Linked DNA regions of Drosophila melanogaster. The protein of the gene in region 2 interacts with the protein of the main gene of each other region in a pairwise test. Each region holds a gene or a part of one and is shown on either strand. Other genes may lie near its edges. The genes, in order: Or85a and yellow-b.

The links.
Region 1: the proteins of yellow-b (region 2) and Or85a interact in a two-hybrid assay, tested with the Drosophila melanogaster proteins (one large-scale study listed by BioGRID).

The regions. Positions count from the first base shown.
Region 1 is NT_033777.3:8,319,731-8,323,650, reverse strand, and holds Or85a (odorant receptor 85a), read right to left. Parts: upstream 1,905-3,920; coding exon 1,144-1,904; intron 1,084-1,143; coding exon 726-1,083; intron 672-725; coding exon 597-671; downstream 1-596. Other genes in the region: Poxm (Pox meso), read left to right, coding at 2,739-3,841. UniProt on the Drosophila melanogaster protein: Odorant receptor which mediates acceptance or avoidance behavior, depending on its substrates. The odorant receptor repertoire encodes a large collection of odor stimuli that vary widely in identity, intensity, and duration.
Region 2 is NT_033779.5:16,752,224-16,758,878, reverse strand, and holds yellow-b (yellow-b), read right to left. Parts: upstream 4,544-6,655; 5' UTR 4,481-4,543; exon of another isoform or gene 4,301-4,480; intron 3,197-4,300; 5' UTR 3,181-3,196; coding exon 2,916-3,180; intron 1,911-2,915; coding exon 814-1,910; 3' UTR 596-813; downstream 1-595. Other genes in the region: ppk17 (pickpocket 17), read left to right, coding at 1-141, 199-312, 371-529.

The DNA.
Region 1 (3,920 bases), on a different chromosome or scaffold from region 2:
CGCGAATAGCCTCCTGAATGGAGCAGCATCGAGGTCGATATACTCCGTCTCTCGGTTCATTATCGCTCCTTTATCCGGTTCCTTCCTGATTTGTTGCGATTGCCGCCACGAGTAACCCGGGAGCTCTATTGCGGTTTTTATGGCGCTGCACTCTCCAGTACGTGTTGCACTTGGAGTTGCTGTTGTGGAACACGATTCGAAATTAGAAGACGGCGCAGATGTGCAGCAGTGCCTCCAACTGCCCATAATGGTAATGGACCGGACGGCAGTTTCAGACGGGCAGCGAGCTCCAGCGGCAGGTGCCAAGAGGAGGAGGAGGAGGAGGAGACTCCTCCAGTCTCCAGATAAGAGGGCTACCCATTTGACACCATATAATGGCAAGCTATTATAGTAAAGTTTCAGTTGTGCTTTGTTTGCCAGAAAAGTTATGATAACGAAAGTACAAACTGATTTTCCAGATATCTAATAGATTGCCATAATGTTTGCAACACATTTAAATTTTATATAATCATTCTATATATTTTCATTTATTGATTGTGCACAAGTGAAACTACTCTCTTAAATTGAGTTGATCAAATTTGTGGCACTAAACCGAATTACTCCCTTCTCAATTTCTCGGCCAAGTCCATCTCATTTACAATGGTCACCACTGAGAAAGCGAACTTGGCCATCTGAAAGATTTTGTTTACAATAAAATGTAATGGTTTTGTATGATATTATCTTACCTTTATATTGGTGTTTAGACATATGGGGAAAATTCCGCCCGCAGTGAACAAAATCGACTGCTGAACATTGTGAATGAAGTACAACATCGTGGTTCTGTATCGTCGCTCAGCTCCAATCCACTTGGAATGGAACAGTGTGTTGGTCAGGGATTCGCAATCGCTGCTCAGCTGCTCACAGACATAGCAAAATGGAAAGGTCTGGGATAGAATGGCTATGGTGTAGACCCCGGAGACAACACGCTCCATTACGGTGTTATAGAACTGCATGGACACCGCTGCCAGACCCAAAAGTAAGCCAACGGATAGTAGTTGGATGAACATCGTGGCGGATATCATGGGACGCAGAGTGTTTCCATATCTAATGAGGAAAATTGAGTGGATTATGGCATTCTGCAAAGAGTATTCCATTCTTCCTCACTCGACAATTAGCTTGTGATCCTTTACACACTCCACCAGCTCGGCATAATGTTGATCGTCGCCTTTTTCCACATCAGTACGCAGCGTCTTGATTCGCTCACTCAAGAGCTCCATGTGGATCCGCAGAACGACCACATATATGATGGGATATACGTCCAAAATGAGATTGGCCAGAATAATGCCAGCCATGGTGACCGATTCAATGGCAGTGGCCAGATAGAAATGATCGTCGGGGTTAACCAGTGGATTGTACAAACAGAATGGAGTCTTCCCAATCACCAGAGCTCCGGTTAAGGCCATGGATAGATAGCCGAAGTATATGCAATGGTAAATCACAACAACACGATTGCATAAGGCTGCTGCTCGGTGCACCTGGACTTTCTCCTCCATCTTGGTGCATCGAATGTCCATGGCGTCCATCATCTTCTGAGCCCTTGAAAATCGCCGCCGCATAAACAACACTATAATGCCCTTCATGATCGAAGCATTGGTGTTAACCGGCACCTGGACATACGTAAACAGATCCGTGGTCGTGAAGTTCTTGAACTCCTTTATTCCAGTCATTATCAGTCCATAGGGTATAAAGATAAAGACGAGTACTATGACCACCAATGTCCAAATGTAATAGAGCCACCAGTACGGCTTAGTTCGTGGCGGCAGTCTCCATCCCATTTGATCTATGGATCTGTTTAAGTAGATCAGCGAATCCCGGGATCGAAATAAGGATCCAAGGACTGGCTCTTGAATGTACTTAAAAATCATTTTTGAAAGTTTAGAGGTTTCGATTGACTTGAACTTTGTCACCTGAAGACTGAGGGCAGTACCCTAAACTAGTTGCATTTATACGCGTTGTTTAATTGTCCAATGCTAGTTAGTTATTCACGAAAAGAACCGCCTTTATTTGCGTGCAAAATTGCACAGGTTGTTTTGAGGGGTGTGTCTTCATGTCTTAAATAATTGACAATTGTTCCCATATTGTCCCTTTCGCAGGAGTGGTTGTTAATTACTTTATTTATGGTCCTGTGAAAATAGCTTCTCTGCTGAACCTTAATCATTCTTCAATCTCAAGAATAGGATACACCCATGTGCACCTATCCTTAAGTAGTGTTCTATGCGCCAAGGGGAAATCTTTGCGTCATCGCTCAAAGTGCATTTCCGCACGTTCCGGGCATTCAAATTGTGTTTTCCCAGTCACAATCGGGGCACCCACATCCGCAGTTCTAAGAAGCAAATGGTAGCGATTTTCAGCCGAACAAACGGCTCTCCACTCAACTTGGGCTGCCGCTCGCCAATCCTCCTCCGCTCCGCCGCTCCACCGCTTCTGCAGGTCCCACTCCTAGCCACTCGGCTCACTCATTTGCCACCGAAACTAATTAGACGCAAATGTGCTTTTGTTCGCCTTCCCATTCCCAGGCAACGCTCTTTGTTCGCATTTTGTACTGGGAACCGGGAATAGCTTTCGGATGATACTGTGGCATACTCTGGCATATGAACAGTTTCCGAAAACAGTTTTTCATATTTATGTTAAAATGTATAGACACTTCCTTTATTCCTTTATGTTACCAACCTAACTAATCCGCAATCTTCTCTTTGCAGAGTCGCAGTGTCCGCAGTATGGCGAGGTGAACCAGCTGGGCGGCGTCTTTGTCAACGGCCGTCCGCTGCCCAATGCGACCAGGATGCGGATCGTGGAGCTGGCCCGCCTGGGCATCCGACCCTGCGACATATCGCGCCAGCTGCGAGTGAGTCACGGCTGCGTGTCCAAGATCCTGGCCAGGTACCACGAAACGGGCTCCATACTACCCGGCGCAATTGGGGGATCCAAGCCGCGCGTGACCACACCCAAGGTGGTCAACTACATCAGGGAACTGAAGCAGCGAGATCCCGGCATCTTTGCGTGGGAAATCCGGGACCGTTTGCTCAGCGAGGGCATATGCGACAAAACGAATGTACCCAGTGTGAGCTCCATATCGAGAATCCTGCGCAACAAGTTGGGCAGCCTGGGGCATCAGCACACGCCGGGAACGGTGATGGGCAGCGGAAGCAGCAGCGGTGGCGGCAGTGTGTCCAGCAATGGTGGACAAAACAATGGCACGAGTGCCAGCAATAATATTAATCTGAGCAATCTGGGTAATCCCGGCGGTGGACCGCACCATCCGCACCACCATCATCATCATCAGTCAGCGGCGGCGGCGGCAAGTGCCCATCATGTGCACGCCCACGCCCATGCCCACGCCCACCTGTACAACTCCATCTACCAGCCGTACAGTGCTGCGGCGGCCTACAGCATGAAGACGCCCTGTGGAAGTCCATCCCCGCCGCAGGGAGCGGGCGGTCAGGGATCAGTGCCCCATCCCCACCAGCTGAGGAGTGTGGCCGCCGCAGCCGCTGCCGCCCACTGGCCCTCCTCCCACTCGGTCAGCGATATCCTGGCCCACCATCAGGCTGTTGCCCTGCGCGCCAGTTGCCAAGTGGGCGTCGGAGTGGGTGGAATGGGCGGCATGGGCAGTACGGTATCCCCGCTGCCGATGACTCCTTCGCCGGTGGCGGGAACGGCCGGTGGTCAGCCACTGCTCGACTGCGAGGGTGGGGCGGGACAGCAGTCGCCGTACAACTACTACATGTACTTCCAGAACGGCGGAATGCATCACCACCATCATCACGGCGGAATGATGGCCGCTGGAGCCACGGGCTTATGATTGGGTGGTCTATAATCAGCGGATTGGTTGCGGGTCTAGCTACTTTCGATCGCGGTTGTTCAGTCTAGGTTACTCTAGT
Region 2 (6,655 bases):
AATGAGGATGACTTTGACTGTGACTGTGTTCAGCCCTGCCAATCGAGAATATACACAACTTTCATTCAGAACAGAAAGGCCTTTAATCAACCAGAGCCACGCACCCAAATCTACATATACTATACAACAAAACTGATATCGGTAGGTTAATAATGTTATGATGCATCGATCTTTCACTGAGCCCGTTAACATTTTCAGATGATTGAAGAGCGTCCCAGCTATGACACCACACAATTCATAGCCGATGTGGGTGGTTCTCTTGGTTTTCTACTGGGCTTGTCTGTCCTGGGATTGATTGGAATACTGGAGCATGTAAGACCAAGTCCACATTCAAACTGGCAGAGTAACAAGGTATTTGACATCCTTTCAGATGATGCTCTTTTTCTGTGGCGGATTCATTAAGAGGATGCAGCAGAAGGAGCAGGCAAAGTTAGAGGCAAACTCCGAGGATGGTCAATCACAAACCAGCGATGAGACCATCGATGTAGAAATTGCCTATAAAAAGAAGGAAAAGCAACCCAAATATTGAGTCAATAACCAAGCTGGCTTGGATTTGCAATAAGTGGGAAGTACATATAAAGAAAACTATTCAAATACACTTCTTACATTTAATCAACTTCACGTACAACGTTTAAGTTTTCTAAGCCTACATCTTAACAGATTACAATTGCACTCAAATAAAAATATTTCGTACGTTTAAGAAATCAGTGAAAATGCTAAAATTACAGAAATTTTTCAAGTTCTCTGTTCTTGAAAAACATAAAACATTTTCGTTCGCAAGTGCGCAAGATACTTTTGTACCGCTGCGGGAATCTAGATTCTAAAGCTCATCAGCAAACATAAGGCAATCAGCATAAGGGAGCTGAGGTTCCTAAGGGAAGAAGCCGAATTGGACTTCAGTTTGATGTTAGTATTGAGAATATCCCCCAGTTTGTTGATTACATCTGGCAGAGGGGAAGTTCTAATTTCACAGGCTGTATTCTCAATGGCCTCCTTAACACTGGCAGTCAGGATACGGAAGTTTATTGAGCCGGCGTACAGTTCATCGTAGATGAAGACGGGTAGCTGATTGGATAGGACCCATAGACGTTTCTGATCATCAACCTTGATGTCACTGGGGAACACCAAGGTATCATTGTTCATGTGGATGCGGCTCTGGGAACTGTGACTAAAGTCTGTGGCAGTGCGCCAGCAGGCGACTTCGTTCAGATTGGGCAGGGCGTAGAATAGGACTCCGGTATCCGGATCCAAGAACTCGGCTCCAGCCTGGGTGTTCGGTCCTCTGGAGCCCAGCACCTTGAATTCTCGATAAATCATCGGCGAAGTGGCCAGGGTCTTGTTACGCAATATCGATGTATCCACCGAGAATTCCGTAGTGGAGCAGAGGGGATGGAAGTACAATGTGGCATAGCCCGTTTCCAGGGGCTTCGATAGAGCCAGTCCGTATAGGCCATCATCCCATTGAAACTCAATGCCATTGATGCTGAAGTTACCGGCCATTGGATCTGGGTGGAAGAAGTGATGCTGCACACGCCACGATTCCTCATCCTTCCATGAGTAAACCACCAAGCCGGGACTGCCCAAATCGGCTGCGTAGGCAAAGGTATTCTCACAGTCAGAGTCCTCCACCGCCAGATTGGCCAGTAAAGATCCCTGCTTCAACTGACCGGCGGGCAAAACGTGTCGTCTCAACAAATCATCATTGTGCAGATCGTAGACCAGCAGCTGGGCTGCTCCATAGATCTTGGTCTGCTCCAGGACTCCGGAGATCCTAGAGTCGAGCACCCACAGGCGTCCGCATCTATCGGCTCGCACGCGGAATGGAGAAACCAATTCCGGTTCGGCTTCCTGGAGATTGTGAGCCTGCCAGCTGGGGAATGGCTTCAAGGCTGGACCCTTGCTGGAGGTATCTGAATAAAATACATCAAAATAGAACGCTTAATAAAATACAATAACTCATGTTTAATACAACTAATTTTATCCCTGACATAATCATCTAAAGTGAGACCAATTAACGCTATTACTTTACATTAATATAATATATTATATAAGTTTACATTCGTTGTATATATATTCTGTTGATATATATTTATATATAATATATTATATTTGAAGGTTTATTGATCTCTCTCGTCAGCAGTCATTTTATTCGCCTTGTTGTATTTAAATTTGGCCATTTGCATTGCTAATTGGATTGCTCACAAAATGTTTGTGTATGTATGTATTTGTTGCCTGTTGGTGAGTAATTCGCACTGCTGCTTTTCAGTGCAATTGTCTAAACTGATTAACTTGCTAATGAGCTCTGATTGAGTTGTGGCTAAATCAACTGCCCACTGGCCTTGCTGTTGAGCAGTAAAAGGAAATGTAACTTTATATTTACAACGATTCGCCAGGAATATTCCAATTAGCAGATTATAATATAAGAAAAGTTCTCGATAAGTGCAAAAATAAATGTTAATTTTGTTCTATTCAAGAAGTTTTACAAAATGAAAACAACGGCGATAATTTAACAACTTGATACTATATGTACTTGATACACTTGCATTGGCCAAATGTGACTGTTTATTGTACAAGTGTACTTCGCAGCCCACACAGAACCCCAAGTGATATGTACACATAAATACATACATCTAGTATGCACCGATTTGTGGCATGCTGTTGATGTCAGACAGCTAATAACGTCAGCGAGCGTTATTACTATGCTAATTGCCGCAAGTGCGAAAGGAAACGGAATTGTTCGGATGGTCAAGTTGATCAGAAGCGCCATCAGACGCGACCAAAACAATTGCCGAGCTGTGAGATCCGAGATTTGAGATCTCAGATCAGCTCTTGGCACACATAGTGCAATTGCATGGGGCAATTATATTCAAATTCATGTACTGTGGCAGCTGCAACAATGCAACTCAAGCGCTTACCATTAAGATCAAGGTAGGCCAACGAGGCCGGCACTCCGTCCCTCCATCTGGGCAGGGTGACAAAGAGTCGGTGGCCGGCAACCTCCAGGCCAAAGGGTATCACATTGGCCGGCTTGAACTCGCCCCGCTCGATGGCCGACCATCTTTGGTCTGGATTGGCGTACTTGAAGTCCATTTCCCGCCACTCGTACGCTACGCGAAGATTGTCGTTCGCCAGGGCAGAGACCGCCCACAGAAGTAGCAGGCCTAATCTGAATCGCAGCATGTCTCCAATAAATTCACTGCAAATACCAAAATCAATTAATAAACGCTGCTCTATTCATTTAAGCTTCCGTTAAGCCGCAACGGCCTTGTCCAAGCCATAAACGCAACCAGATCAAACACTCGAAAAAAACCAAATTAAGATTCATTTAATATGGTAGCATTAAACTGCTGAATTGGGCACAAACAAATCGTAGATACAAAAGTGCTTACATACTTTTTCAATCATAGTATGAGTAGGGTTCTTTAATTTTCCATCACATTTAGTTCTCAGTATATTTGTTTCTTCTAATGTTCATAAATTCTTAAATTATGTCATTTGGACCAGCCTTTTTGGCCTTCTAATGCTCCGTGTGACTCACACTTTATGTCGCTTTGGTTCACTTCGGCATTTGAAAGTTGCCTTTGGTCGGCCAAAACTTTGACTCAGTTGCCAAACCACAAAGTTTAATTTCTGGTTAAAAGCGAGACTTGAGGTATATTATCTAACGAACAAGATCAGAACGTGGCCAAGGAAGTTGGCCGATGTTTTCTTTACCCTTTTTTATTTTTTCGCTTTTTATTTTGCTCTAAACAAAAAATGAGAACGATCTACTACAACTTAAGTGCTCTTCAAACTAAACCTTTCTCCATAACCAACTGTTTACAAGTTGACTGCCACCACCTCACTCGATCTTTATTTTTAGGGTATCTTTCATTTTTTCTAACTCGTTGTCCGAAACACTCGACCTCATCATCAATTTCAAGTTGAGCCTCGCAGTTCAACCATTAGCATTTCAAAATGCGCACTCCGGAGTGACCGCCAATATCTTTCGTTTGTTCCTCAAATAAAGTGTATTTTCGATTTGGGACTCTTCTCGATGGTGAATTTTCAAGTTATTTTCGTGAGTCAGCTGTAAAAATATACTTTCCGTTTTTTATTGTGGGCGTGTCTAAGCTAGCCGTATGTAATCACAAATGTTGTATCATTATTAATGGATTTTAATGGTATGGCCACGGGATTTTCCATCTATCCCTTTTTTTATTGCCATTACTTAACGTGTTTTTTGTTTGCTTTGTTGCTGATACATATTTATTGTTTTTTTTTACAATTGTGAATGGTTCAAAGAGTATTGAAAACACACTTTTTGGTCAGCTCCAGTTATGCAAGCCTTGTCACCTGGCTGCCTCTAAGTTTGTGTCTTGAATCTTTCGTTTGGCCCTGGCTTCGCTTTTATGATCACCGGAGTTAATACATATGTTTATGTGATTTACTTGACAAATCTTAACCAAATGTCAACAGTTCGGGTCGGCACTTAACACACCTTCTTATGATCAACCAAAGAGCAGCACACAACCGCCAGTGTCGAGACTCGAAACGAAACTAAAAGTCAAGTGAGCCGCCAGACAAGTCAACCCATTGGAGACCGGTCTGCGTGAGTGGTTCCCGCTCCAAGCGGCTCTCTTGGAATTCGACTGAACTTGAATTAGTCAGCCCGTAAGACGGTTTAGCACGTTGGCTATGAATTAAAGTAGTTTTTGGCACGCTCCCTGGGCTATCCCACAAATATTATGCATAGCTCCCACACCATGGACATACTAATCCATCCATTAAAATCTCCAGCTGTGGCCCCGCGATTGACAAGCCCCTGAAAAAACTCCCACACTTGTAGCTTGTAGGCCTACTGTGTATTCATGATTGACCCATAAATGTGAAAAGATATTAGACAAGCCCATGTCCGAGTAATTTTTCTTGTATTAAATCAATATTTGAAATTAAATTTTAATTAATTTGTTGGTTTATCATCATGGAATGTTCCGGTCGTCCGATTGTCTAACTGACAGAATGAGTGCCTTGGTTAAAATGGGGATATCCCAATGAGTCATCCATTTTGTGGCCGTTCCATACAAGATATGAATGCAAGTTCCCTTTAATAATAATATTAGCTTTCAGTTTCACACTTTTTATGAATCAGTTTTAACCTGAAACAAAATCGATGAAAGAAAACGCATGATGTTCACTTTTATTTGTTTTATTTAAAATGTCAATAAATTAATTTCAAAAGAATAGAGAACAATCGAAACATTAAACTAGAAATAGTACTTTTATGCATTTTATATGTTTTCCTAATAGTATTGTTTGCTTTTTGTATAGTTAAAAAGAATTTAAACAATTGCTTATATAACTTGCTGTTGTATACTATCTTTCTTTGTGGTTTGGTAAAAACATTTTACGTACAAGAATGCTATATTCTTTTTTTGTTTTTAATCCTTGATCTTGCATCTTTTCATTTACATGACAACATTAAAAATGATTTAACATAGGCAATTTTGTTGGTTTTTGATTTTATGCATTTGCTCTAAATAAAGTATAGGCATTAGCTAAGTATTTGTGTGATTATTTGTGGAACGAACAGAAATGGATAAGGAAAATTTGATTAGTTAGTTCCGTAAGCTTTAGTTAAAAGTAAATGCAACAAAAATGTTTAAAGCTTATGCGAAATATAAACACGGTTAACATTTATATTTAATCAAAGATTATTATTAATTATAAAAAAAAAATCTTTGGTCGAAAGCTTCAAAGATCTTTGGCAAAAGAAATTCTTATCGTTTATTAGTTTGAAATTTATTCGATCTTGAAATACTTTCCCAAACAAAGTAGTTGCAACTATCAAAGCATTATTGATTAATTTCATATTGATAAATGAGTAAATCAACACTGAACAAAATGTGTAACCAAACGTTCTAGTAAATCTCTTTCAGATCCATCATTGCACGAATGCTTTGAGAAGTGGTGTGGTGATCGATGTGGTTGGTGATTCAGCCGCCGGTTTGTGTGGATTGAACTAGACGCGTTGTATGCGAATGCGGTTCGTCTGATTCAGTTATAAAGTTATATTATAGTAGTGGTGTTATGCGTGTGGATATAACGATTGAGTGGTCGCAAGACAAGGACCGAAAAGTCCAACAGTTACTTCCATAACTGTGATGTGCCCTCGCCTCAGAGTTACAATATACCGGACCAGGCCGTATATCTGCTGACCAAGCTACGGCACATCGCCTGCGTCCGATTCGAACTTGTACTTTGTGGTCGGAAGGCATACTCTTCTCGCCATGCAAAACATAATCCAAAGATAGACATATATACCACTTATTTATATATTAATATGGATAGATAGAAGGGGGCAGCACGGACGCAGGGGACTCTTCGCTCAGCAAAATTAATGTGACACGCTTTCGACTGGACGCAGCAGACATTTACGCTCGTGGAACGGTTTTGTGTGGGGTTTAGTATTACAGGGACTGCCATTTGTCCAGCTACTCGCGTGTCGCCCAGCGCGAAGACAGACAGATTCGGTGGTCTAAAATATTTAATTAATTCTTAGTTTTCATAGTTAGTTCTCCTTGCAAAACACCTTAAGCCCATTAAATGTTAACAAAACTTGTAGCCTTTTTCAGCTGTACTCTTTTCAAATGAACGCGTGCATTGCATGGATAGA